Mus musculus: one gene and its partners. The protein of the gene in region 1 interacts with the protein of each later gene in a pairwise test. Links are inferred from orthologs where the notes say so. Each region holds a gene or a part of one and is shown in the gene's direction. Other genes may lie near its edges.

What was found.
Region 2: the proteins of Ccdc136 (region 1) and Cep57l1 interact in binary tests that used the Homo sapiens proteins (3 or more experiments, as listed by UniProt). The two-hybrid records come from large-scale screens. The link is inferred for Mus musculus from reciprocal best matches to the Homo sapiens genes CCDC136 and CEP57L1.
Region 3: the proteins of Ccdc136 (region 1) and Hmg20b interact in binary tests that used the Homo sapiens proteins (3 or more experiments, as listed by UniProt). The two-hybrid records come from large-scale screens. The link is inferred for Mus musculus from reciprocal best matches to the Homo sapiens genes CCDC136 and HMG20B.
Region 4: the proteins of Ccdc136 (region 1) and Rab33a interact in binary tests that used the Homo sapiens proteins (3 or more experiments, as listed by UniProt). The two-hybrid records come from large-scale screens. The link is inferred for Mus musculus from reciprocal best matches to the Homo sapiens genes CCDC136 and RAB33A.
Region 5: the proteins of Ccdc136 (region 1) and Fam161a interact in binary tests that used the Homo sapiens proteins (3 or more experiments, as listed by UniProt). The two-hybrid records come from large-scale screens. The link is inferred for Mus musculus from reciprocal best matches to the Homo sapiens genes CCDC136 and FAM161A.
Region 6: the proteins of Ccdc136 (region 1) and Tcea2 interact in binary tests that used the Homo sapiens proteins (3 or more experiments, as listed by UniProt). The two-hybrid records come from large-scale screens. The link is inferred for Mus musculus from reciprocal best matches to the Homo sapiens genes CCDC136 and TCEA2.
Region 7: the proteins of Ccdc136 (region 1) and Fam107a interact in binary tests that used the Homo sapiens proteins (3 or more experiments, as listed by UniProt). The two-hybrid records come from large-scale screens. The link is inferred for Mus musculus from reciprocal best matches to the Homo sapiens genes CCDC136 and FAM107A.

The regions. Positions count from the first base shown.
Region 1 is NC_000072.6:29,413,575-29,417,074, forward strand, and holds part of Ccdc136 (coiled-coil domain-containing protein 136), read left to right. Parts: intron 1-1,211; coding exon 1,212-1,406; intron 1,407-1,856; coding exon 1,857-2,081; intron 2,082-3,497; coding exon 3,498-3,500. UniProt on the Homo sapiens protein: May play a role in acrosome formation in spermatogenesis and in fertilization.
Region 2 is NC_000076.6:41,807,069-41,811,278, reverse strand, and holds the start of Cep57l1 (centrosomal protein CEP57L1), read left to right. Parts: upstream 1-1,410; 5' UTR 1,411-1,491; intron 1,492-1,615; 5' UTR 1,616-1,631; coding exon 1,632-1,706; intron 1,707-4,210. Other genes in the region: Sesn1 (sestrin-1), read right to left, coding at 1-257. UniProt on the Homo sapiens protein: Centrosomal protein which may be required for microtubule attachment to centrosomes.
Region 3 is NC_000076.6:81,347,628-81,351,750, reverse strand, and holds the start of Hmg20b (SWI/SNF-related matrix-associated actin-dependent regulator of chromatin subfamily E member 1-related), read left to right. Parts: upstream 1-1,323; 5' UTR 1,324-1,579; coding exon 1,580-1,617; intron 1,618-2,262; coding exon 2,263-2,371; exon of another isoform or gene 2,372-2,661; coding exon 2,662-2,865; intron 2,866-3,109; exon of another isoform or gene 3,110-3,134; coding exon 3,135-3,255; intron 3,256-3,718; coding exon 3,719-3,765; intron 3,766-4,123. UniProt on the Homo sapiens protein: Required for correct progression through G2 phase of the cell cycle and entry into mitosis. Required for RCOR1/CoREST mediated repression of neuronal specific gene promoters.
Region 4 is NC_000086.7:48,517,785-48,522,084, forward strand, and holds the start of Rab33a (ras-related protein Rab-33A), read left to right. Parts: upstream 1-1,500; 5' UTR 1,501-1,816; coding exon 1,817-2,074; exon of another isoform or gene 2,075-2,091; intron 2,092-4,300.
Region 5 is NC_000077.6:23,021,295-23,024,242, forward strand, and holds the end of Fam161a (protein FAM161A), read left to right. Parts: intron 1-199; coding exon of another isoform or gene 200-367; exon of another isoform or gene 368-1,147; intron 1,148-2,135; coding exon 2,136-2,253; 3' UTR 2,254-2,448; downstream 2,449-2,948. UniProt on the Homo sapiens protein: Involved in ciliogenesis.
Region 6 is NC_000068.7:181,683,297-181,685,931, forward strand, and holds part of Tcea2 (transcription elongation factor A protein 2), read left to right. Parts: intron 1-251; coding exon 252-357; intron 358-1,146; coding exon 1,147-1,237; intron 1,238-2,495; coding exon 2,496-2,626; intron 2,627-2,635. UniProt on the Homo sapiens protein: Necessary for efficient RNA polymerase II transcription elongation past template-encoded arresting sites.
Region 7 is NC_000080.6:8,306,978-8,311,270, reverse strand, and holds the start of Fam107a (actin-associated protein FAM107A), read left to right. Parts: upstream 1-1,493; 5' UTR 1,494-1,786; intron 1,787-4,293. UniProt on the Homo sapiens protein: Stress-inducible actin-binding protein that plays a role in synaptic and cognitive functions by modulating actin filamentous (F-actin) dynamics. Mediates polymerization of globular actin to F-actin. Also binds to, stabilizes and bundles F-actin.

The DNA.
Region 1 (3,500 bases):
TGTTTTGTTTTGTTTTTTAGAGATGAGTGTTGAGACAGAGTCTTGTGTTTAGACTAGGTTACCCTTGAACTTGTGGTGATTCTCCTGCTTCCACTTCTATTGCTCAGATTATAGGCATGTACCACCATACCCAGCTTGGTACAGGACAATATTTTTGACTCACTTTCTTTAAGAAAATAATTCCAGCAATGATACATAAGGGTTTGTTGACTTTTTCTGTGGTGTATAAGATGTCAGTCAGCCATTGCCATTTACCCTGTTGAGCACTGTCAGCCCTTGATTATGATAGGAACTAGAAAGGAGTGGAGCCCCTTGGGGAAAAGGCATAAGAGTCTTGGGAGATGGTGAGCCTGGCCATGTTCTGCGAGGGTGCTCCGGCTCCTGCCTCTCCCAGTAGTAGACAGTGACCCTAGGGAAAGGCCTTTATGATATAGAGGACTGAGAAGGTCACAGTCTGGTTGCCATTCCATCCCAGGGCTTACATTTTGCCTGCTTTCTTCACTCCCACTCAGTTGAGAGATCCACTGGATCCCTGATTTGCTTCAATACCTCGTACAGTGCTAGAGCTTACAGGAAGTGAAAGGTGTGCTGCCGTACAAGTCACTGAGGTTTTACTTGATTTTAAAATACCTGGTTCTGAGAATAAGAGGCTAATGTAGCTTTAACCCAAATTCAGCAATGGCTCTTACTTTACTAAAGGTTTTACAGTATGATTAAGACTAGGGATGTAGCTCGGTGGTAGAGCACTGGCCTAGCATACATTAGGTCCTAGGTTCAATTTCCAATATGGGTGTCAAAAGTCAGGAAAACAAAAAATAAGAAAAATTATATCCAAATTAAGTCCTGATTGATGAAGTAAATAAATTAAGTCTAAAAACAATTGACAGGGTGGCTTGAACTGGTTTTCCCTGCACTGCTGGGAGCTGGAGATAGTGTGTCACAGGGAAGGGAGGGCACTGAGATCTCTGCTTCTCAAGCTACTCTCTGGGAGCGTGGCAGATGAGCTTAGTACAGTATGATGGAGTGCTCAGAACTACCTAATGGCGCCCCCTTAACATAGAGGTCTGAGCTGCACAGGGCGATCAATCCAGGTGACTGAACAAGGAAGAGAGGGGGCCGAAAAAGTGGCAGGAGGCAGGGAGCACACGGTGCTGTGCCAGCCCCTAACTATACCTTCTGTAGTAACCTTGCCCTGCACTCCTGACCCATAGTGTGATGCTCTGCTGGCCAGACTGACAGAATTGCAGGACAAGTTCAAAGCCAGCCAGGAGGAGATTGGGCACCTGCAGATGGAACAGTGTGAGCTCCTGGAGGACCAGAGGAGGCTGCAGGAGGAGCAGGGCCAGCTGCAGGAAGAGCTGCACAGGCTCACATTCCCACAGCCCAAATGTGGCATCTTGCAGAAGGTACTCATTGCCAGGGCGAGACCATTGATCAGGGGGAGGCTGCTCTGAGAGGCTTCCAGGTATAGCTGTCCATGGGGAAGAGAGGGAAGTGAGCAGTTTCCTTTCTTGCTCAGGTACCTTTTATTTTCTTACCATTCTCCCCACAGAGCTGATTTGGGTTTTTCTTCATAAAGGCTTTAAACTTTAACATTTATATTCTGAAGTCTGTGCAGTGTTATGTATTTAGCTATTTGGTCAGTCTGGAGGAAGTACACCTGAAATCAGTTTGTGAACTGTAAAATATCTACACATTGGAGTCTTTTTTTTTTCCGATTAGCAAACTTCCATGGAAAGAACCGCTTTCCCCAGAAGGGCTCTGTGAAGCAGGGAAGAGGCAGAGCCCAGCAGGGATGGGGCTGAGGAGGGCGTTTCTTCCTTAATCGCCGCCTTTCCTTCCTCCTCCCTACTCAGAGTCAGGAGCTGCTTTCAAAGCTGCAAGATCTGTGTGAAATGCAGCTGCTCTACCAAAACATGCAGGAGCAACAGCGAAAGCTGACACAAAACCAGGAGTGTGTACTGAAGGAGCAGCTAGAGGCACACAAGCATCTTCGAGGTTTCAAAGAGTCTCATTTCCAGGAAGTGTTGGCGAACCCTCAAGATGCTAGAGGGCCTAAGTCCTCCAGTTGTGAGAATAAGGTAACCACAGCAGCAGGAAGGGGTTTGGCTCTTGTGAGGACAGCTGTGCGGCAGGGAAAGGGCTCTGTAGAAGAGTTGAACCAGGAAGGCCTATTTGGATAGGAAGTAGGATGAGACTGACGCCCTTGTCAGGGTCTTCCACGGGCTCCACTACTTAGACACCCTGAGTATCTCACGCAGAGGCGCACGCTCTGCTGTGATGTTTGGATGCAGAATGATTTTCTTTTTAAAGAGCTGAAGAGAAAGCAGCATCTAGAACAGAGTTTAGGTGGCCTGGAAGGTCTGTCTGACCACTGGGTTCTATCCCCACAACATGGCATTTTCAAAATATGTGCAATCAGCTCACTGTTTGTTTTGATTCCTGTTGACCAGCCCTGAGTGTGTCATCTTTTTGTGTGGGCTAGAAAGTCTGCTCCATTGTCAGAGTCTGTAACCTTTTGAGTCTCCATAACAAATCTAGCCCCAGTCATCTCCAAGGAAAACAGTTGCAGCAGACAGGATCATGGTGCCAACTACATTATTTTACTGAACGTTGGGCCAGGTTATAGGAACTAAATAGAAAAATCATTGTTTGTCAGACACTATCAGGAGTCACTGTCATGCCTGTGAGGTAAGATGGCTAGGAATTTCTACACAAATCTGTTCAGAGTTGGGCAATAAATTTGGTCCAAGGTCTCAGTGTAAGCAAGAGCAGGTAGACAGTTTCAGTTCAGGCTAAAACTACCAGTTTTAATATTCCCATGAACAAGGAGAATCAGGAAATGGAGGAAGTCCAAACTGTGGGACTTCTTGAGCATTCCAGGGGTGTTAGATATCCAGGCTGAGAGCCTGGGTAGCATAGAAACTGGGAAGTCACGTGTAAACTGTTTCCTTGATCTAATACTGAATGTATACTTGAGGCATGGAAAACATACTTTCAGGGAGAAGGTACAGGGACTAGTGAGGAGCAAGACCTTGATTCCAAGCCTGAATCTTCCAAGAAACAAATTCATAGTCACACATTTGCAGCTGGGCTGATTGTCCCATGAGGGGTGGTGGAGAGGACTGAGCCCAAGGTCAGGATGGGGGCACTTGACTTAAGAAGATCATCGGTGTGATAGGGAGCCCGGGTGTGCGTGAGACCTACCTACACAGCTTCAGGGAGGAAGTTTCTGCCAGAGTACAGAAACCAGTAGAACGGGAGCTCTAAAATCACTTAGTATCTGTCCTGGGAGATTTTTTTCAAAGTAGCAGAAAGCTGCCCCACACCAGTCTCCTGTAGGTTAAGGCAAAGGCAAAGGCCTTGTGAAACAGAGGTAGGTGTGTGTGCTCTTCTCTCAGGTAAGCACTCACATCTGCCCTAGGAGAGGGGCAGCTGAAAGGACTGGAATATCTCACAGTAATGGTGATGTCTCCTGCCCCCTGCCTCCCCCCTAGTTC
Region 2 (4,210 bases), on another chromosome or scaffold:
CCGCTTCTCTCTCGCACATCTTTAAAGGGACATCTCTTAGAGAGCATAAGCAGATGAGCAAGAAGTTTATTCATCCCATCCAAAGAAACCGCGTTTGAAAGTCCGTCTGAAGGTCGGGAAAGTGTCTCTTTCGCTGAACGAAGGTATTCGGTTTTTCTCAAAACGATCTGCCTAATGTTTTCCAGTGCTGTCTCTCTAGTAGTCGTGTCTCTGCTGCACAGTCCCTCCCATCTCGCTTCATTCTCTCCTTCAGCCATGACAATCAAGAGCTTTTTCTTTTTCAGCGTTTAGTCAGTTACCTTTCAGCATTCCCCCAAAGCAGCCCGTCGTTTGTTTGTTTTTTAAACAAAAAACAAAAACAACGAGAAACGCTAAGAATAAAGTCAGAGAAATCCAGCCGTCGTGAAAGCAGGCGTCTGGATGGCACTGGGAATCACACGTGCTTTTTAAAGTTGATGCTTTCAAATCGATCCACAAGGCGGATCACCCAGGCACCCTCTCCTACACGAGGGCAGTCTTCTGACAGAGATTGAAAAGAACAAACTTGGAAAGTTGCAATCTCACAGAGCTGGTTAGCTGGACACAGAGTCCCGGGGAAGTGTTCTCTGTGTCGCAGGGTCAGCGGATATCCTCACGTTGTGGAGCTGTCAAATCCGTGCTTGGTCCCAAAAGGCTGGTAAACAGTAGAAGGTTCTCCAGCCATTCGATTTTTTGTCTGTGCAGCGGCTGGTTCTCGACCGTTCCCACCCCGCCCTCCTCCGACACCAGTCTCCGCCCCCCTCGGCTCCTCCTAGCGCCGCGGCAGGGCAGCGGGCGGGTGCTGGCGGGGTAGGCGGTAGACCCTGGCCCTTAGCTGCTGGGGCCCGAGGCTCCGGTGCTCCGGGGGAGCAGTGTCCGCCAATCACAGTGTCAGCGGCGACTAAGGGCGGCGTCCCCAACCCTGCCGGTTCTTGTCCCCCGGGGTACGCCGATGCTCCTCTTACTCCTCTGTCCTCGCCCACCTCCGCCAAGCCAGAGGGCACCCCGCAATCCAGCAGTCATCGAGCCCAGGGCTGCACGGCTGAAGCAAAGGGCCCCAGGCACAGAGCCCGCCCCTTCGCCCAGCCCCGTCGGTGGGGATCGGCCCAGAGGGCGGGAGCAGGGAGGGGAGACGGGGTCCTCACCCCCAGCCCCTCCCCTGTCCCCGCCCGGGACCGCCGGGAGCCGCCCCTGCCCCATGCCTGCCTCTCCGCCCAGGCACACGCGACCCGCAAAGACAGCCATTGGAAGCAGCCCCGCCCTCGGGCAGAGTACCTCCGGACCCCGAGTCCAGCGCGCCACTGACTAAGACCGGCTGCTGCGCATGCGCGACGCCGGCCAGGGCGCATGCGCTTTCCGCGGTGTTGTCCTTTCTCGACGTTTGGAGGCGCTGGTTTGAAGAAGGGGAAAGAAAAGTAAGGAGTACAGATGCCCGGAGATGTTTATCGAACAAGAAAAGCCGAACAAATAAAGGTGCTCTATAGTATTCCAAGTAGAAATGGGATAGAATTATGAGTGACAGCCAAGCAGGCAGGGCTTTGCGTTGGCTTTTGGGAAATGTAGTTGTAATGCTAACTACGCGCTCTGTTTGCGACAGAAACTACAATTCCCAGATGCCACCGCGACACTTGTCTTTGCCCGCGAACCAACGGTTCTGGAGGCCGTGGTTAACTGGGAGCGTCCATCTGGTAAGCGTGGTAGGCTTGGTTGTGACCCGTTCAGTGAAAAAAAATTTTTTTTTTCCCCTCGGAAACTCTGGTGCCGACGCCATCTGGGATTGCTTCCTTTCCGTCGTGGCTTGCCGGGAGAGAAATAGTGCAGGTGCTCAACACCTTTGGTTGGGTGACTGAGGCAAGGATTTGGGGATCATTGTTTGGAAGGCCAAGGAGCAGCCTTAAGACAGGCAAACTGGAAAAAAAAAAAAAAGAAAAGAAACAAAAAAGCAAAACAAAAAACCGACGCCGCTGCTTCTGCTGTCCTCTTGCACATAGGCCCGTGCTGAATGGATTAGGAATCCCTAAGCGTTGCCATTGCACCTTTGCCCTTACAGGGATCTGTTTTGTGCTGTCTTTGCTCAGTCAGATAGCATCCGAAGGGGATCTTTGAAAGCAAGTCTCTTGTGTCTGAGACTGAAAAGAACTTCAAATGTCCTTAGGTTTGGAAGGTTCTGTATGAAAAGAAGCCTATAAAAACCTCCTAAATGTGTTATCTTTGAACGATATGGTCATTTCTCTAAAGGTGTTTTTGGAAGGTTTTTAATAGACTGGTAATCGGATTCGATTTTAATCCTTTGTTTTACAAAGTAAACATAGTCATAAAATATTAATCTGGAACTAAAGAGATGGTGCAGTAGTTAAGAATTGTTCTTATACAGTACTTAAGTTCGATTCTCAGCCCCAACTTGGCAGCTCACAGCCATTCATAACTTTAGTTCCAGAGGATCTGATGACTTCTAACCTCAGTAGACACCAGGCATAAACCTGGGGCACAGGCATACATGCAAACAATACACTCATTGAAAAATCCAAAACCATAAAAATTAATGAGGCTTTTAACATGAGAAAAGTGTAACAATAACTTTTATTCTCCTGCTGTAATTGCTGTCTGGAGGCTTACTGCCTCCATCAGCTAATCTAGGCCCAATCCTGCAAGCTTCTAGCTTCTGTAAAGGCCTATAGTGTTTCCAGCTTTTGAGACTTCCTGCTGAATAAGCTCACTCTTTCTAGCTCTTTCTGAATTCTTGCTCTCTGGTTCAACTCAGCTGTTTTGGCCCAAACTCCTCTGACTGATTCAAACTGGCGTCTCTTGCTTCTGACTGAATTGCTCTGCTTGGCTTCAAACTAACTTTAGCAATGTGTTCTACTCTTCTGGCTCCTCCTTATTCTCTGGCTCAGCCTGTCATGTCTAGCTTGTTCTCTCTTCACCCTGTCTCTGTAAAACTCTCCCGGTAACACTGTCTCTTTTCCTCTCTCCCTCTGTCTGCTCCCTCCTATGTTGCCTCTCTCTCCTCTCTCATGAGAGTTGGGTAGATCCTAGTCTACTGAATCTTTTTCTGATTCATCACTTTGTTTCCCTCTCTGTTAGACTTCACTTTCAAACAAAGCTGCTTCCTTCTACAAACTTTGCCTTCATTGTTTGGGATTAAAGGTGTGTACTAAGGGTGTATCTGTGTTCTAACCAGAGTAGCTATGTTGCCGAATTAAAATCCCTCTACAGAAGAGTGAGAAAGATACCCCTCATCTTATTAGAACACTTATGTGGCCAGGCGGTGGTGGCACACGCCTTTAGTCCCAGCACTTGAGAGGCAGAGGCAGGCAGATTTCTGAGTTCGAGGCCAGTCTGGTCTACAAAGTGAGTTCCACGACAGCCAGGCCAGGGCTACACAGAGAAACCCTGTCTCGGAAACAAAACAAAACAAAACCAACCAAACAAACACTTATGTGTAAAATACAGTTGTAATACTATTTGATATTGTTGGCTAGAGGAACATTTAGCCCAGTCTTAGAAAGTCAGGGAAGTCTTCATCCCAAGGAAAATGAAGGCCAAATGAATAGCATAAGGCTTCAGTCACCAAGTGCCTTCTGTTCAGAAGGATGTCACTGAGCTTGTATTTTAAGATAGTAAATAAGTAATGTAGAGTATATAGCAAAGGAAACAATGACAGCCAGTTAGGAAGGAATGAAAGGTGCTTGGCTGTGGGAAAAAAATCTTCCTTTTCAGTGGGAGGAGGACCATTGCTGGATGGATGTGCAGGTTGCCTGCCACCTCAGGACAGCTGTTAGAAGATGAGCTTGCAGGGTGGAGTTGCCCTATTCAAAGACCTCCAATATTGAGAGGGTCTTTTAGCCTCAAAGCTGAGGGTGGGGGTTGGGTACACAGGGCTTTGCTTTTGGGAGTGGGTGACACAGACCATGGGCAGGAAGAGTCTGCACTGGGAGGGGGAGGGGTGCAGAGTTTTCTCTGCCTTGTTCTGGGTGGGCTTAATTCTCCAGAGTGTCACAGTTGACCAGCAGCCCTGGTTTTTATTTGGGGGTATGGAGTGTTTTGTTTTGTTTTGTTTTGGGTTTTATTGTAGGCTCCTCCAGTTACCTTTCTTCAAGTTAATTTATATACTTTGCATTCTTTGATGCAACAGCAGTTACTATTTGTAGCAGAACTAAAGAAAGGAAGAATTATGGAAATCAAGGGCTCT
Region 3 (4,123 bases), on another chromosome or scaffold:
CTTCAATCATTTGTTTTTAAAAAGATTTATTTGGGCTGGTGAGATGGCTCAGTAGGTAAGAGCACCTGACTGCTCTTCCAAAGGTCCGGAGTTCAAATCCCAGCAACCACATGGTGGTTCACAATCATCTGTAACAAGATCTGACACCTATTATTTCACGTTTATGAGCATTTTCCCTGCATGTAAGCCTGTTTGCTTGCCTAATGCTCAAAAGGGTAAAAAGAGGTCTCCTGGGACAGTTACAGATACTTTTTAGCAGACAAATGGGTGCTGGGGATCGAACCCAGGTTCTCTGCAAAAGAAACAGGCACTCCTAACCATAGAACCAACTCTCAGTTTCTCTTTTACTGTGGGATGTTACAGAAGACTGGAGTAAAATCACATTTGGCAACCTAGATGTGTGGTGCTGTCTCTTCCATTTGGATAATGCGGATCAAATTCAAGTTGTTGGGTTTCTCTGTAAACCCCTTGGCTTGCTGAGTCAGTCCGCACTGACCTTCAAAATGATTTTTTTTTTTTTTTAATGAAAATGCTCTTAGCCCAGCTTCTATCTCAGATCTAGGTGTCAGCCTCCCAGCCTGTTACTCCTCCTATGGTTCAATGTACCCCTTGGTCAGAGAGTAAAATCAAGGTTCCACGGGAAGGGAAATCAGTGCCTGGTGGTCATTTCCCCAGTCCTCCGTTTATAAAGCATACGTTCATTTATTGATTTAGGTCTGTGTGTGATGCACATGGCACAGCACACAGTGGAGTTCAGAGGACAACTTGCTGGAAAACCATTCTCACATTCCACTTTGTGGGTTCCGAATGCAAGTCGTCCACTAGGTGGCGAGCACCTTCAAGTGCTGTGCAATCTCACCAGACCCATTTTTTTTCAACGTAGTAAGAAAAACTACACCTGGCCGTACTGCAGGGGCGGGGGGTGCCTCTTTGGAACCTAACTCCTTCCTTAGAAGCCTACTAAAAACGCCTCTTCTGCCGAATATCCCCGGTCCCCATCTCCACACCCTAGCTCACCGGTCAGAATGGGGACTACTGGCCCTTTAAGGAGCTCCGCCCCACAGCACGCCGCCAGTCGCCTCCGATTGGTCCCGAGCGCGCCGGAGCGCAGCCGAACTTGACGCACCCGCCCGCAACCTGCCGACGCACCTCCCACGCGGCTCCGCAGATCTTCAGCCAACCACCGCCCGGCGCGCCGAGACTAATCTGCATGACCCCACCTCTCATGGAGGCCTCAGCCAATTAGAGCGCTATCCTTGGGTTCATTAGCATGAGGGCGGAGCGGGCGCGGGCGCTTGGTTGGACCGTCGCCGCGTCTCAGGTCCCGGGAAAGTTTTTTCAGAGGTGAAAAGAGCCGGGAAGTCCGGGCCTGCGCGGGGCGGGGGCTGCGGGGCGCGGCCTCCGGGACTCGATCTCGCAACAAAGGATCGCGGGGCCTCCTGCCCGAGGACCTCCCCGCCCCGGGATCCGCCTCCCCGGTCCGGGCCCCCCGGGGATCGCCCTGCGGTTCCCATCGAGGTGGCAGGCAGGACCCCCTGACCTTTGCCGGCTTCTGTTCCAGATCCCGCCCGGAGTGGCCATGTCCCACGGTCCCCGGCAGCCAGGCGCAGCCACCGCGTGAGTGCGCCTCCCCCAGCCTGTCCCGACCCTGGATAAGCCCTGTCCCCATCGTCGGGTACCCCTGGAAATGCCTTGTGTCCATCTCGAGTACCAGGGGTCATGCCCTGTCTCCACCCCGGGTACTCCTGGACATGTCCTGTCCTGCATCCTTGGGAACTCTTAAACATTCCCTATATCCACCCTCGGGTACCCCTAAACACACCATGTCCACGCTGGGATCTCTGGACATACCCTGTCTCATCCTCAGGTACCTCTGTGTACCTCTGTTTTGGGAACCCCTGATCCTGTCCTGTCCCTATACCCTACCTACCTTATCCCCACTACAGGAACTTCTGACCATGTCCTGTCACCCTTCGGGGATTTCTGTACTCCCTGTAGAACTGCCAAGACACCCTATGGCCTTCCTCACTATCTCATCTTCCTCCCAGGCCCCAGGACCAACTCACCTCGTCCTCCGTCCCCACCCCGCCAGTGGCCTACTGTGATCCTTGGATCCTCAAACTCTGGGTCCCCACCCCCTTTTTCCAGGCTCATGCGTGCTCCCACATACTTCTGTGATCTCCAATGACAAGAAGGGGATGGGTAGGTATGGGGGAATGATTTTGGCACTGATGGATGACGCTGGTTTCCATTGTCCCCAAGACCTGCGGGAGGCAAGACTCCGGGCCAGCACGGGGCCTTTGTAGTGGCTGTCAAGCAGGAGCGCAGCGAGGGTTCCCGAGCTGGAGAGAAGGGGCCCCAGGAGGAGGAGGTGAGTCCCCATCTGAAAAGCCTGGCCGGCCGCTGGCTCAGCAACACATACCTCACAAATCCAGACTATAAGATCCTCCCACTGCCTAGCAAGAGGCCACACCCCAGCCTAGCCTGTCAGTGGCTTCAGCCCCACCCCTAGGAGGCTGTCTTGGTGCAGGACCCGTAGGTTCTCTAGAGTTCTGACCCTTGATCTGCCGACCTACCACTAGACTAGGCCCCGCCCATATGCCCCAGACCCCCACCCACACTTCCCAGAGCCCCTCCCAAGGACACAGCCTCCTCCTGCAGCCAGTGAAGAAGCGAGGCTGGCCCAAAGGCAAAAAAAGAAAGAAGATTCTCCCAAATGGGCCCAAGGCCCCCGTCACTGGCTATGTTCGCTTCCTGAATGAGAGGCGGGAACAGATTCGCACCCGCCACCCGGACCTTCCATTCCCGGAGATCACGAAGATGTTGGGCGCCGAGTGGAGCAAGCTGCAGCCGGCAGAGAAGCAGGTAGAGACCAGAGAAAGGGGTGGCAGAAACAGGAGGATCCCTGGGCAAGCCCCATCGGTGAGAGACCCAGGCCCAAAGAACAAGGTGGAGAACGTCCAGTAGTCCTGGAGAAGGGACCCTCTCTCTGTGGGTTGGAGGGAGGAAGGGAGGCAAGGGAGGGGTTACGAATACATCAGTATGAGGGGAGTTGGGGGCCTGGCTCTGGCCACATCTGTGTGCCTACCTTCGTTTGGGCTGGCCCTAGTTTGAGGATGCTGCCCCCCTCCTAGCGGTACCTGGATGAGGCAGAGAAGGAGAAACAGCAGTACTTGAAGGAGCTGTGGGCATACCAGCAGTCAGAGGCCTACAAGGTCTGCACTGAGAAGATTCAAGAAAACAAAATTAAAAAAGGTGAGTGAGCCAGGCAGTAGTGGTGCACACCTTTACTCCAGCACTTGGGAGACAGAGGCAGGTGGATCTCTGCTTTTGAGACCAGTCTGGTCTGTAAAGTGAGTTCCAGGACAGCCAGGGCTACCCAGAGAAACCCTGTCTCAAAAACAAACAAAAGCCGGGCGTGGTGGCACACGCCTTTAATCCTAGCACTCGGGAGGCAGAGGCAGGCGGATTTCTGAGTTCGAGGCCAGCCTGGTCTACAGAGTGAGTTCCAGGACAGCCAGGGCTACACAGAGAAACCCTGTCTCATAAAACCAAAACCAAACAAACAAACAAACAAACAAAAACCCAACAACAATAAAAGGAAAGGTGAATGGGCCCAAACTCCCCTCATAAGCATAAAGGTTTATGTGGGGCCGTCCAGGTGGGGCCTCTGGACTGGGAGGGTGCTGGCTGACCTGCCTTCCTCCCTCCCCACTAGAGGACTCCAGTTCTGGGCTCATGAACACCCTCCTGAATGGGCACAAGGTAAGGGCCTCTCAGTCCAGAAGTACTTAAGAGAGAAGATACCTACCCCCAAAGCTAGTGTGTTCCATAGATAAAAGCAAGACCACTGTGGAGACACAGTGACTCTGTGGTGGGGCATAGCTTAGTGGTGAAGTCATTGCCCAGAATGCACAGAACCAAGGGCTCTACCCCCACCACCACCCACCCACCCCACCATGAGAGGGCCTCATGTATAGAGTGCTGACCTGGCATGCAGGAAGCTGGGGACTCCAGCGCCACTCAGAGTTAAGAACACTCACTGCTCCTGCACCCCCTTGGGTGTGAGCACAGACACCTCTAACTCCAGTTCTGGGGCATCTGCTAACCTCCTCTGGCCTCT
Region 4 (4,300 bases), on another chromosome or scaffold:
TTCCAATCCTAGGCCTAGGTTAGCAGATGGAAGCTGTAAGTCTCTGAGATGACAATTATACCAGGTGAACAAAAGTTACTTTTACATTTTTCCTTAGTGGGAATGGATTTCATTACACTGAGGCTTCCTGTAGATCAGCCTCACATGCAAAATGGCAGCTCATGTGTGCTGCTGGCTCCCCTGACTTTGATGACATTAGCAATATCTCATATGTTGATGCTAATGGTATATGTCTGTGATACCTTAGCCTATGAAATATAAGGGAGATGAGCAAATTCCTAAAACAAACATAAAATGGGTACTCATTGTTGTATGCAAATCGTACCTAAGTTGACTTCATACAGATGTTAAACCTGAAAGTCACTTTTGGGAGATGGAATATGGGTCTTGACCAAGTTGTGTGATGGTTAGTAAGCCTTGGGAAGCTACCCTCTGAAATCGTAAAAAAGTTGTATTCATTTATCATCTTCCAAGCATAATCTAGGCTTCTGACAAATTAGACCCAACCACTATATTCTACATTCACTTGCAGGGGGTGGGTGGACCCTCCTTGGGATTCCAATTCCCCTTCAAACTCTGCCAATCTGAAACACCGTATGGCTTTGTGAAGGGCTCAGTGTATCAGGAATCATGGGGTTTATGCCGTGTCCTAAGTGCCCTCACCTGGGCCTGTAATGGTTAGCCACAGAAACAAAGTCCCCCTTTGCTGGAACTGTCCCCACTAGTTCCCCCTCCTCCTAGCCTCTGTATGGCCCTCTCCCGCGGCGGGCCTTCCTCATTGGCCAGCCAAACACAACCGACTGTGGCAGCCAATGGGAACCACCCTCCTGAACATTCAGAGGGTGGGTGCTCGTGGTGTGATGAGGGGAGGTTGGCGCCTGGTACGAGCCCCCCTACATCTGGCAAGTCTTTGACAGAAACAGTAACACCCCCTACACACTCACGCCCGTGCCCCGTGTCTGCCTCCTTTCAGCTGCGTGGGGGCCCTCCACAAGCCACTGCGTTCACTGGTGTCCTGGCAGTGTCCTCCCCAATTCCTTGGGCACCAAAGAGTGCACCTGCTTACTCAGTAAGACTGAATACCTCCTTTTCCTAAGACTTGGTGGGGGGAGGCAGGGAACCACAGTGGCGCAGCTGTCAGTGGCTGTGGAGGTGTGAACAAGGTATCTCAGATCCCGACCCCTTAATGCTGCACCGGACTCGAAACTCTCCTGCGATGCCTTAGGGTACAGCGCTCTTTGTCTTCCCCAGCTGTGCTCACTGCCCACCGAGCCTATGCGCTCAAAGTAGGGGTGGGAAGCCTGAAACCCACCACAGAACTGGGGACAAGAAGAGAAGGCTCGCCTGAGGCGCTGTGTTCCACACTCCTCATCCCTTCCCTGTTGTGCTTAGGCTTTCTCCCTCCAGTGTGTCCCTGGGGTCCAGAAGGGGAGGGTCTAAGCAAAGGCGCGGCACAGCCTGAGCCTGCAGTCCCAGAGCTCACACACCGGCAGAAGGAGACCTCTCAAGGCTGGCCCAGTCTCCATTTCTTCTCTCTCAAGCTTTTGTGTCTGTGCCTTTGAGCTGAAAGGAGGGTGCACTAGGAAAGGAGGAGGGGTGCCTGGGGTGAGAGCACCCTCTTCACGCGCGCGCGCACACACACGTTGCCGGCGCACGCACACACGGGCGGACACACACTTCCAGACGCGCGTGCGAGCACACACACATACACACACACACACGCACAAAGCTCTCTCGCTTTGAGCGCACTAACGTGGCCGCTTTCTTTGTGTGGAGCCCTCGAGTGGGGTTGGGACCCGGGTCCTGTCCCGGGGAGATGGCACAGCCCATCCTGGGCCATGGGAGCCTGCAGCCCGCCTCAGCTGCTGGCTTGGCATCCTTGGAGCTCGACTCATCGATGGACCAGTACGTGCAGATTCGCATTTTCAAAATCATCGTGATTGGGGATTCCAACGTGGGCAAGACCTGCCTGACCTTCCGCTTCTGCGGGGGTACTTTCCCAGACAAGACTGAGGCCACTATCGGTGTGGACTTCAGGGAGAAGACCGTGGAAATCGAGGGCGAGAAGATCAAGGTGATCCTGCTGGTCAGGTCCGGGCAGGGAGGAACCTGGGAGGGGGTTTCCGCCTGAGGTATATTGCTAGTGATAATAAATGACTAGCTTTGGCTGTGTCGCCACCTGCCGAGCTCAAGACCCTGGGCACATCCACAACCCTTTTAGCTTCTTTCAGGGGCCCATCCCCACCTAACCCAAATTTTCTGGCAAGCCAGGGTGGTTGCATTCTTACCCTTTGCCCCTACCTGACAGCTTTGGCCGGGAAAAGCAGGTTTGAAATTGTTCTCAATCCTAAACGGGAGAGACACCCCTGAACACAGAAAGGCCTGAGACATCTCTGGTCCTAGTTTTGTGGGATGGATCTCAAAGCACTTTACACATTTTGAGGTCCTTTCTACCTCTTGGGTGCCAATAGGCTGCAAAAAAGAAAAAAAAAAGTCATCCTGGCTAAGCCCTGTGACATTAGAGAGGTTGGGAATAAATGGAGCAAGAACACGGCTTTATTTTAGAATGCAGTTTATACTTGTGAGTAGAGCTGACTTGAGATGGAGGTGGCATGGAGCATGGTTATGTCACAAAGCCCTTTTAAAGGCTGAGACACAGTCACCTGCTGGCTCTTCATAATCTCCCAAAACTTGTTCTTTGGGGGCAGTCCCTCCCAGATGCTTGCTGCTTTAGATCGGTTTGGATGAAGCTGGTGAATGAAGAGCCCATTACTCATTCTACTGGCATTGTCTTCAGAAGGCTTGTTGGGAAACACACAACAACTTCTCTGAGGGTCAGGGGGAAGTGCCTTGACATAGTTTACTAAATAGGCCAAGTACAAATATTTTTGTATGTTCATTTAGTGTAGCGAAAGTAGAAACTCGGTAAGACAGGGTATGTCAGTGTGTTGGGAGGGGGTAGCAGGAAGCGGGGTATGGCAAGGACAGCTTTGTGTGTCATAGAAAGCTTGTAAGAAGACACCGGGGTTACTAAACACCAAGTCCTCTAGACTCATAGCTGGCCTTTGCTTGAGCAGGACCCCCGGGGAAGTCAGAGATGAAGGTAAACTTGTTGGTCAAACAGCTGAAGGAGACACATGCCCTGTCCTGTGTTCTGAGTGACACAGAGTGAAGGACTGGTGAACTGGAGAGAATGACAAAACACCCCAAATTGTGCAAGATTTCTTGGTGATCAAAATGATTGCATTTTAAAATGACTTCAGCAAACAAGCCAAAGCACTGTGCTTTAGGAAGATGGGTGGAGAGAGAAGGAGAGATTCTGGGTCTGGGAGATAATAGATTCTTTTGAACTTCTGATCTATTTTAGCTCTTTCCAATCTGAGGCGACAGGGATGGCCTTTTAAAGCCAATGCGGGGATCTGTCTTTTTTCTTTTTCAAGGACTCTTCATGTTGAATGTTTGCACAGGTCAGGGCTTCTTCCTTGACGGTGCCTAGTTTCTTTAATATATGGCTATAAGACATTGGAAAGTCTAAGACGTGATTTTTTTATAATCAAAGTAGAAATAAATCAATGGATGCATTTTAAAACACCTTCAGAATCATGTTTAATGTTATCATTTACTTAAAATCAGCTATTACAGTGAGCTGAAGTGTTTCCTGGGCTTAAAAGTTGGAGCAGCATATTAAATCCCTCTGAAGTTTGAGTGGTGGGGAAACAGAAGTGCATGGGAGTCTAGGAGGGAAGGGAGATGAAGGGGGAGAAAGGGAAGAGGAGAAATGAGGGGTAGGAGGTGAACAGTGGATGGAGTTATCAACCAATGGCCTTGGGGAGGGCTTTAAACCATTACCCCACCCCACACCCCACACCCTACCCCCGGCCCTGGCCACAACCACCACCCCTGGACTTAACCTAACTAACTGGCTTTCAAGTCCCTGCCAAATATCCTAGACTTTTTTTCCCCAGAGGGCAGAGCCTGTGACAGTGTGACTCACTGGAAACAGATCAGCACAACACCCCGTGCAGATAAGTGCTTAATATGGGTTTTGAGGGGAAGATGATATTTCTAAAAGGACAAAGCCTTGTAACACAGTTCAAGGAGGAACCTCTGAGGACAAATTGGGCAAGAAACCTCAGTGGAGTGTGGGACCTGGGACATGCTGACCTCACTCCCCTGTAAGCTGTTGAATCGCTAAGGCCAAAGCTGGCAGGTGAGAGACCAGAGTGTCTGTGGCAAGATGGCAGAACATGGCAGCTGGCAAGAAATCAAGAAGGACGTAGATTGTGCTTCATGCTTTTTC
Region 5 (2,948 bases), on another chromosome or scaffold:
GTGATTTCCTTGGGGATGATAGGTAGATAAGCTTACACCATCAGCCTTGCTTGGATTTCCAAGGTCACAATTAAGATTTTGGTCAAAAGGTGGCTTTTTTTTTTTTCCAGCCTTTGAATTATGCCCTGTTAAGTCTTTGCTGGACAACTTCCTCCTTGGCTTAAAGTGCATTAATTAAGCCTTAGTTTGTTGCCCTCAGGAAATCCCTTGAGGAAAAGAAAATGTTGGAAGAAGAGAGAAATCGGATCCTAACTAAACAGAAGCAAAGAATGAAAGACTTGCAGAAACTGCTGGCAACCCGGGTTAAGGCTTATGGCTCCCACCAGAGCTTGTCTCAGATAGTTAAAGCCAGGGTGAAGGAGCTCAGGTACCACGGAAGAGCCTGGGAACGCCAACATCAGCTGCCAAACTCCCTTTCCTTCCCTTTCCTTTCCTTTCCTTCCCTTTCCTTTCCTTTCCTTTCCTTTCCTTTCCTTTCCTTTCCTTTCCTTTCCTTTCCTTTCCTTTCCTTTCCTTTCCTCCTGCTTAACTAGTGGATACCTAGATATGAAAATACTATGGCATCTTAATTTATGGATTTAAATAATCTTTGGCTGTTCCTACTCAACTGTTACATATATGCACACATATACATCTTATAATGACAGTCAGTGTATTTACTTACCTCCATAGCGAGAACCATGAGACCATGTGGAACAGAAATGGCTTTGTTATGGTCATAGTTAGTAATTGCTTAAAAACCAGCACAAAACCTTATTTATGCAAGTGTGTTCTTATTTATAAATTATGTAAATATTTGGCATATATACATGCATTGCATACATACATTATACATACATACATATGTACATTATACATCTGGTGCTGGGGGCTGGGCATGTGAGGACCAAAGCCAGGATCTTGTACACAGACTGGCTGATCTGGATAAGTCAGGGAGTTCTGTTCGAAGTTTGTACCAAATACAACAGTTTGAGTGGATGCATGGTGGGTACATGCTGCCCCTCATGACTGATAGCAGCCACAGAACACCTACAGTCCTTTACAGAATACTACTAGAATTCTATAAAGCAGAGTCTGAAAACCAGCATTCCAAACATTGCACATAAAAATGGTCATGCTTAAGCAAGAAAAGGCCCTCCAAAGCTGGGTAAGTAATATGACTTATTAACTTTTAAGATCCAAATACGTACATCTATTTTATCACTGAGCCTTCCTTTACAGTATAGGATCAGCCCACTAATAGAGCCGAGTTTGATGAACTTGAGCAAAAAATTCCTTAGGAATACAGTATTTGCCTGTAGGAAGTTGAATACCAACTTACTTTGAGTAAGCATAATTTTTGTAAAGTATAATTATTTTCCGTACCCATGAAACTCTCTTGTCTTGGTTGCTTCTAGTATATCTTATACAGAGGAAAACAAAACAAAACAAAACAAAACAAAACAAAACAAAAAAACAGTGAAGTTTAATTCATTGTGGGATCTGGTCCAGAGGATGAGCACAGCGAGGTTCATGCTTTTGGCTCTGCCCTCAGTTGCTACATTCTCATGAGCCCCACTTTCTCTCTTACCTACTCCCACTTAATTAATGTTGCCACTGCCCACTAGGTGATCTCATTTAGGGAAAGAAGAAAAGCAGGGTCTTTTTATTTTGGTGTTTGAAACAAGGTTTCTCTGTGTACCCTGGGCTGCCCTAAGAACTAGCTCTGTAGGCCAGGCTCGTCCCACACTGGGATATCTGCCTGCTTCTGCCCCAGAGTTTTGGGACTAAAGGTTTGTGCCACAACTGACCAGTTTCAGGGTCTTGTTTTTGAAAGAATATTTTTTAAGATACCCATTTGGACCAGACTTTCTTGCTTTTGTATACTTTTATATAAAACACTTTTTCAGGCAAGACTGAAGTCTTTTTGCCTTGAAGACTTTGGAAATCAAAATGACCAGACCATTCCCAGGGCAGTACACTGTGTTTCTTCAAAACCTGGGCTTTTTATTCTGGATTTATGAAAATCTTGCCAGTCTAGAAAAGGAACTGGGCTGAGCTGTGCTCTCACTTCCTGGTTTGTCTTCTGAGGTGAATGTCCTAGGAGAGCTTCCGTAGCTGACCTTTAAAATGCCACTCTCTTTATCTGGTTCTAGAAGGAGTGAAAAGGCCAGGATGAGAGAATATTGGCAAGAACTGGAGGAACAAGAGGAAAAACTGCAGAAGAGGCCGATGTTGTTTGAAAGAGTCACCCAGGTTGTGTTTATTGGTTAGGGCCATCACCAGCTTTCTGTTTCTCAGTACTTCTGGCCTCCACCTTTGTGCTCCGTCTTACGGTGTCCTACAGTTGCCAAGACATGATGTTTCTGGGGCGGCTTCATCCAGTCCACCAAGAAAGTAATTTCACTTAAGATGTGACAACGCTTGTAGCTCAATAAAGAACATGTCACTAACCCCATGTACCTCAAGACATTCCTGACACGGTTTGCTTTAGAGTCTGGTCTTTTTAGTCAGATTCTGTTGAGGCTTCGGGATATCATGGGGAGGTCTTTATGAATTCAACCACTGGGTGTATGACCATTGTATGCAACATAGTGAGACCGTCTCTTAAAAGCACTTTAAATTGGGTATTTCGTTAGTTACTTAGTTAGATTACTTGTGTGTGAGTGTTTTGTGTAGGCACCATGTGCATTTCTACCCACAGACATCAGAGGTATTGGATACCGTAGAACTATAGTTGTGAGCTACCATGTGAGTGCTGGGAATTGAACCTAAGCCCTCTATAGAAATAAGTGCTCTTAACTACTGAGCCATCTCAAGGCCTAAAAGCATTAAAAAACCAAAGCAAATCTCTCTGCTTCACCATCCTCCTTAGCACGGTCCTTCCTCCCGTGGAGGCCTTTCACTCCCAAGTTCAATGGTGATCTCAAGGGGGTCTCATGATTAACCTCCCCAGTCGTATTGCCTCA
Region 6 (2,635 bases), on another chromosome or scaffold:
AGGGCTCCCTATATTAACTCCCACATGGCTTAATTGGCACAAACAACTTTGTTCTAAGGAGAGGATTTCTGATTCTCTCTGGTCATAAGAGAGGTGGGAGGTAGGTCCCTGGGTCCCAAATAGCCATTGGGAGAGATGTTTTCTGTCCCTGCCATTCCCCAGCTGTCCACTGTGGGAGCCAAGAGTCCTTGGTGAGGATCCGCCTCTGGAACAGGCCCCTCCGCCTCTGACTCAGGCCACTTGTCTTGCAGTCCACCCGTGTTGGGATGTCTGTCAATGCTCTGCGCAAGCAGAGTTCAGATGAGGAGCTCATTGCACTTGCCAAGTCCCTCATCAAGTCCTGGAAGAAGCTCTTGGGTGAGTCTCAGAATGTAAAGGGAAGCTCTTGCTGGTCAGCACAGCATAGAGTGCTGGCTCTGCTACCCTGATTGAAACTATATATGGTGGGATATGACAAACATAGATCAGAAAGGACTCATCCCTGGGCTGGACATGGATGAAGATGGTAGAAGATGGATGTCATCTGTTGTGATGGGGAGGTGATGGCCTGGGATGTATGATCATTGAGACAAGGGTATATGCTGCAGAGGAGGTTTTCAGGCTGCAGGAGGCCAACAGAAAAGGAGATCCAGGCAGGATGCTCCAGCTGAAGGAGGAGGGGAATGGGATGGCTACCTATGCAAGAGGGTAGCTAGGCAGACAGCAACTGTTTCTGGGGACAGTGCTACTAGGCTGCAGAGATGGTTCTATTGATTAGGAAGGTAGTCTTCTGCGTTCAGTCTACTTCTATGAGACAACCCAGAGCCTGTTTCTCTTTACAGTCACATGCCCTGGTCCCCTGGTCCCTAGTTCAGGCTTTGGGCAAGGTTTCTGCCCATGTTTTCAGAAGGAGCCTTGTGTGAGGCATATGCTTGTCTTTTGGCACGGTTGGGCCTTGATGAGTCCTACAGCAGCTTGTTGGGGGGGGGGGTGTCCTAAAGAGGCTGGTGGACTTGCTGGGGACCAGTAGGAAGGTCCGGTAGCCTCCTGGCACCTTGCCTGTCAAGTAGCTTTAAGCAAAAAGGATAATGGCCAGGCTGAGGCTGGGCCCTCACCTGGCTGCCTGCTCCTGACCAGTCTACACCATCTGTTTTCTGATAATGGCAGATGTTTCTGATGGCAAATCCAGGAATCAAGGGAGGGGCACACCTTTGCCTACATCATCATCAAAGGATGCCTCAAGGACTACGGATCTCAGGTAGCATACCTGAAGGCAGGTACATACATTTATGCCTCTTGACTCAGTTTCCTCAGTGGGAAGAGGAGGCTGGTGTGCATTTGCCTGGTTACTGCCCTGAGGGAAGGTCCCTCTCCAGGGTGAGTTTTACAAGGTTTGTCAGCTTCATGTTGGATACTGTCCCACTGTTTAGTTTTCTTCATGCCCATCTGAGATGTCTGGCTGTGTCTGCCTGTCACTGGCATCACTGAGACCTTCATTAAGTAGCTCCTATCCAACAGAGCTGGCCCAGCCCCAGAGCCCTTTGCCTACTTCCTCAAATCCTATCTTTGTGCTACTCATCAGGACTGGTGAATGGGTCCCTTTATGCAAATGCTATCTGGAGCTAGAGGTGTGCACAGCTCTTATCTCCACATTTCGGTGGCAACACCATTGCTTTAAAGGTAGTCAGGACAGCCCAGTTACCATGGAGACTAGGAGCACTAGTAGTAACAGACTATAGATGAGAGACTACTTTAGCCTGGGCTGAGGCCATGACAGGCTAAGCTCTGGACTCTAGTGTAGCATTCCTGATATGTTATATCCTGACCTCAATAGTATAGTTGATTTTGCTTCAGAAAGTCACCTGATGCTGCTGATTTCCAGAGGTGGTGTGAGGAAAGAGTCTGGTAGGCACAGCATTAATTTTGGGCAAGTCTTGTGTTAGGCCCAGATGTGAGGAAATCTTGCCCAATTTCATTTGTGTTGAGTGGGGCCACCTGTGACAGTTTAAGCCTTGACTTTGGGTGACCTCCCACCTCATCTTTACTCCCGGCAACTAGATTTATCTGCCTAGTTCTGCCATTAGTAGAGAGAGATTCACAGCATGGCCCATGTCTTGGGCCTCTTAGGAAGCACTCTGGAGGTAGCAAGAATATCTCATCCCATTTTGAGCATGGAGTGTTGCTCAGACACTGACTGTGGAGGAGCTGGCATCCACTTAGGGAGTGATCTGTACTCACTGTAGACCTTCTGGCCAATGCTCTACTCTGATGAGACATAACACACAGGCATTCTAGGCTGAACTAGGGATAGATAAAGTCATTTAGCCTAGTTAGAGGTCTGTCAGGATAGAGCAAATAGACTTCGGAGGTCAGCATGGTATCTACATTTGCTTTTCTGGGGATCACCTGTGGCCTAGGAAAGGTCAGGGGACCACCCCGAAGTATCATCAGCTACTGGAGATGTGCAACTGAGCACAGCAGGTTCAATCTGAGTCCAGCAGGCTTTGTCTCTTTAGCTGCAAGAAGCCAGATCCACCTAGGACCCCATCCACTCCAAGGATCACTACATTTCCCCAAGTGCCCATCACCTGTGATGCTGTACGAAACAAATGCCGAGAGATGCTGACTTTGGCCCTGCAAACTGACCGTGAGTGTT
Region 7 (4,293 bases), on another chromosome or scaffold:
ATGACCAACTCCTTGTGAGTCAGCCTTGGCTGTGCCCACCCTTCCCAAGCTACCAGTCACTGCCCAGTCCTCACTCAGCCTTTCTACAGCCATACATCACTGGGTGACATTTTCTTGTATGTATCTTTATCTACTGTCACACATACACACACACACACACACACACACACACACACACACACACACACACACACTGAATGTGGATTCCCTGCGGACTGGAGTAATATCTGTCTCTGTCTCCTTTCCATCATGTATATGCCCACTTAGATCATACCAGGAATATATATATATGATGTTGACTAAACGAACAGATCCTATGGCCAAAAAGAACCCAGAACTGTATGTGGAAATGTGTCTGCTTATCTGTGATGTGCATCCTGGGCCTCATTGCCCTTGGCCAACCAAAGTTCCATGAGAAAGTAAACTGGGGTACAGACCTAGACTCACTGGCAGGTGCTGGTTTCCTCAATGGGGGCGGAGCAGGGGATAATACCAAAAGCCAGACTAGACCCAATGCTCAAGTGGAAACAAGCTCAGGGGTGCAGAGAAGGTCTTTGATCTACGAGCACCTAGACCGTCTTTGGGGTCCTACCCATGTCCTCAGCTTTTATTTGCACGAATTCTCATTGTGGCCAGGCACAAGCATGCATATTAAGACCCTGCCTTTAGCACATGACAGTTCTCTGCAGGCTGTGTTAGTGAACGCCATCTCATTGAGGTCACACACAGCTACACTGTTACCCTCAGCTGACAGTCAGGAAAGCCAAAGTTCAGAAAGGACTGGGATCAGAGTAGGGTGGGCTAGGTGCAAACTCTATCTGCTGCCCTTCTCCTGGGCTACAGCCTGCTGGTTCTTCTGTGAAGTTCCAGGTATGAAGCTAATTATGTGAAGTTAGTTAGTTAGTTAGTTAGTTAGTTAGAGACTGTCTCTGTGTAGTCCTAGCTGTCCTGGAACTCGCTCTGTAGACCAGACTGGCCTTGAACACAGAGATCCACCTGCTTTTGCCTCCAAATGCTGGGATTAAAATGTGTGCCACCACTGCCCAACACATTTGTAGATGACACTTCATTTCACAATGTTTCTTACACCTATGCCTGGAGAATTGCCAAGAACTGACTCAAGCTATAGTTCTCTCCCTGCTAGTATCCAAGAGGCAAGTTCTAAAGATTCAGTCACTGCAGCAGGAAGCCTGGTCCCCCCACCCCCTTTGGGGAAGTGCTGGAATCCCCTCCCATACAAACAAGGGAAATTCCTCCCTAGAAGCCAGGAGCCGCCTTGTTCGCCTTGTTCCGAACAAAGCTTGGCAGGATTCTTATGCCTCATCAGTCTGACAGAACATGTATTTATTTGTGCCTCTCAATCAGGGTGGCTTGGACATGGTGTTCTGAGTCTCGGACATGGCCACTCACCAAGTGAAATAACGGTTTCTATAGCAACAGTTCTTTTTTATTGATATCAGAATAAATGGGAGTGCAAAAGTGCCTCCCATCTTGGGGGTTTAAGGCCCGCCCTTTGGGGGCGGCTGCCTCAGCCATCTAGGACCTGCTTAGCACTCCCTAAGTCTGAGACCTGCAGAGGAACTAGCAGCCCGGGCACTGCAGAGGAGCTCACAGCCCAGGACCTGTAGAGAAGTAAGACTCGAATCTGGTCTGCTTCGCATGCTGTTAGGCTGACTGTGTTCCAAGAGAAGGTGGAGGGAAGGAGAAGGACCTGAGAGCATCAGAGAAAGCTGTCTCGGCAACTGAAGCCTTCAAATTGTGGGTACTGGGACCCTGCCTCCCTGAGGTGAGGTGCTGCAGGGATAAAAAGTGGAGGTGGGGGGTATGGGGTTAAGTAGGCTCTCAGTGACAGCTCTGTAGTCTGGTTGACCGTTTGCTTGTAAATACTGAGAGGAATTTAACACCTGCTACAGCCTCTCTTAAATCCATTATCACACAGTAGGGGTGTGAAGGGTCAGCAGGAAGGGTTCACTTAATAGTGAACAGATAGACAAAATCAACAGATAGTCCAGGTTCAATTCTGCACGGAATTGGGTTTGGGCACCAGAGCTCAGCTCAGACTCTGGCTCCCTCATACATTGGCTTTGAGATCTGGAGAAATCAGATGACCTCTCTGAGGTTTGCTCCTAAGAAGGGGTTGCCCACCTTCTCAGTTTATTGCCAGTTTTTGAATCAGGGGTTAGACCGGTAGTGCAGGCTATGGGTAATTCCCACCTTGCCGATGGACTTAGCTTCATCATATAGTACACGGCCAGTCTGGGACTAGAGAAATCAGGGAATAGAGGATTGCCTGTCGCTAGGAAGCTGCTATAAGTGGGATGGCCTCTTGACAGTTCCCACACATAGGTTTCTGAGCAGCTTGGATCCTTCATGCTTCCTAGCATGAAGTGTGGTAACTCCTGCTGTGATTTTCCCTGAGCCAGCTGCCAGGTGGCAGCAGCTCACAAGGGCAGCACTATGGTAGTGTGCTCATGTGGCTTCCTACTCAACAGCATGGCACAATCCCCAACCTTGCTAAGGACCCTATATGCCTCACCCTTCAAACTCAACCCTTCTTGCTGGTTAAACGGTTCCAGGGGGCCAAGACAAAGAGTTGAGGAAGCTGGTCTGGAGTAGTCTTGGGCCCTCTTGCCCAAATGGACAGGTAGCTCCAAGACGAAGAAGAAGGCTGGCCTGAGTCTTCAGGGAGACCTAGAGATGTGGCCATGTATGTTCTTAGGTTACTGGCCAGTGAGCTACAAATGCATACCACCCACAGGGAGGAAAGGGCAAGCAGGACATGTGGCTGCCAGCTTGTCGCTTCTCTGAATGTTTCTCCTTCTCTTGCCAGTGCTTCTCAAAGCCTCCCCTCTGGGCCTGCTGATGCTGGACCGGAAAGGTTTGGAGGGACAGGGGGTTGAAGTCTGGCCACAGGCCTGACAGGGAAGGCTGCTTCAAGCAGCAGGGCAGTATTTGCATTGCTCACTGGCTGATTCTCTGGCCTTAATGGTCTCAGTCATCAAAGGGAACCAACTGCCTCTTCCTTAGGGTTTCTTGAATATACAGAGAGAGCAAAGGGCTGTAAATTGGTTCTATTGAGTCAAAAACATGCCGTTCCTGGGAGACAATATTGTGGTAGAAAGAGTCCAAGGTTTGGAGTCCAATGATTCCGGCTTTGCTACATACTCAACATTGACCTTAGCTTAATAAGCTCTGATTTTTCTCAACTGTAAAATTAGTTGCCATCAAGATAATCATGAGATTCAGACCAAGTTCCATGCTCACTGCAAAACATGCAAGACAGGAGGCTAATAGTTTGCCTAGATGGGGCTTACTCGGCAAGGTAGTATACAAAGTACAGTGTGCACACCATCATCTCACCTTCTAATGACCTTAGGGTGGTGGAGGTTGCCATGACCTCCACAGGTCAGAGGCTGAGAGAGTGTGAGCTGTTTGCCCGAGGTCACACAAGCTACAATTATGTGTTACATTTGTTTCTTTTGCTTTATCCATTGGACACTTTACTGGACCCAGTGTTGTTTGCCGTGACTGATGCATCAGAAACACAATAAGAACACTGAAGATAGAGGGAATGCAGTCAGAAGGGACATGAAGACCATAGGCAAAGCTAGGGATTCAGCCCAGTTGGTCAAGAACCTACCTAGCATGCACAAAGCCCTGAAATTAACCACTGATATCTCATAAATGGGACATGTGGCTATCCCTATAATGTTAGCCCTTGGGAGGTGGAAGCAGGGCAATCAAAAGTTCAAGGTCATCATTGGCTATGTAGCAAGTTTGAAGCCAACCTGGGATATGTGAAACACTGCCAAAAAGAGGCAGAGGAGGTGAAGGGACCTTGGGTCCCACAGCTGTTCTCAGTGTAAACTTGACACTGCAGGGAGAGTGTCATTCTCCTCTGACTCTCTCCTCACTTCCCAGGAAGGGACCAGGGATTGGGTCAACTGTTCCAACCAGGTTGTGCACACACAGAATCAGACTCTCTTCTCATTCCCAAACTCCTCCCACCCCCTTAGAGACATTCAGGCCACTCATTTAGCCAACACCTTCTGGCCCCAGAGCTCCATGCCCAATAGGAGCGCCTCAGTCTTCAAACACCATGATTCTCCAGAGAAGGATGTCTGGGTTAAAGACCTAAAAAGTAAGCCATCCACTAGACCTGCTTGTGGTGACTCGCCAGCCTCAGCGAGCTCGAGTTACTCAGCCAGAGCAAAGAGGCTTGAATACTTCCCGTCCCACCCTTCTTCCTGCTTTACGAAGACAGCTGAGTACTGAATCACCCAGGAGTTCTCA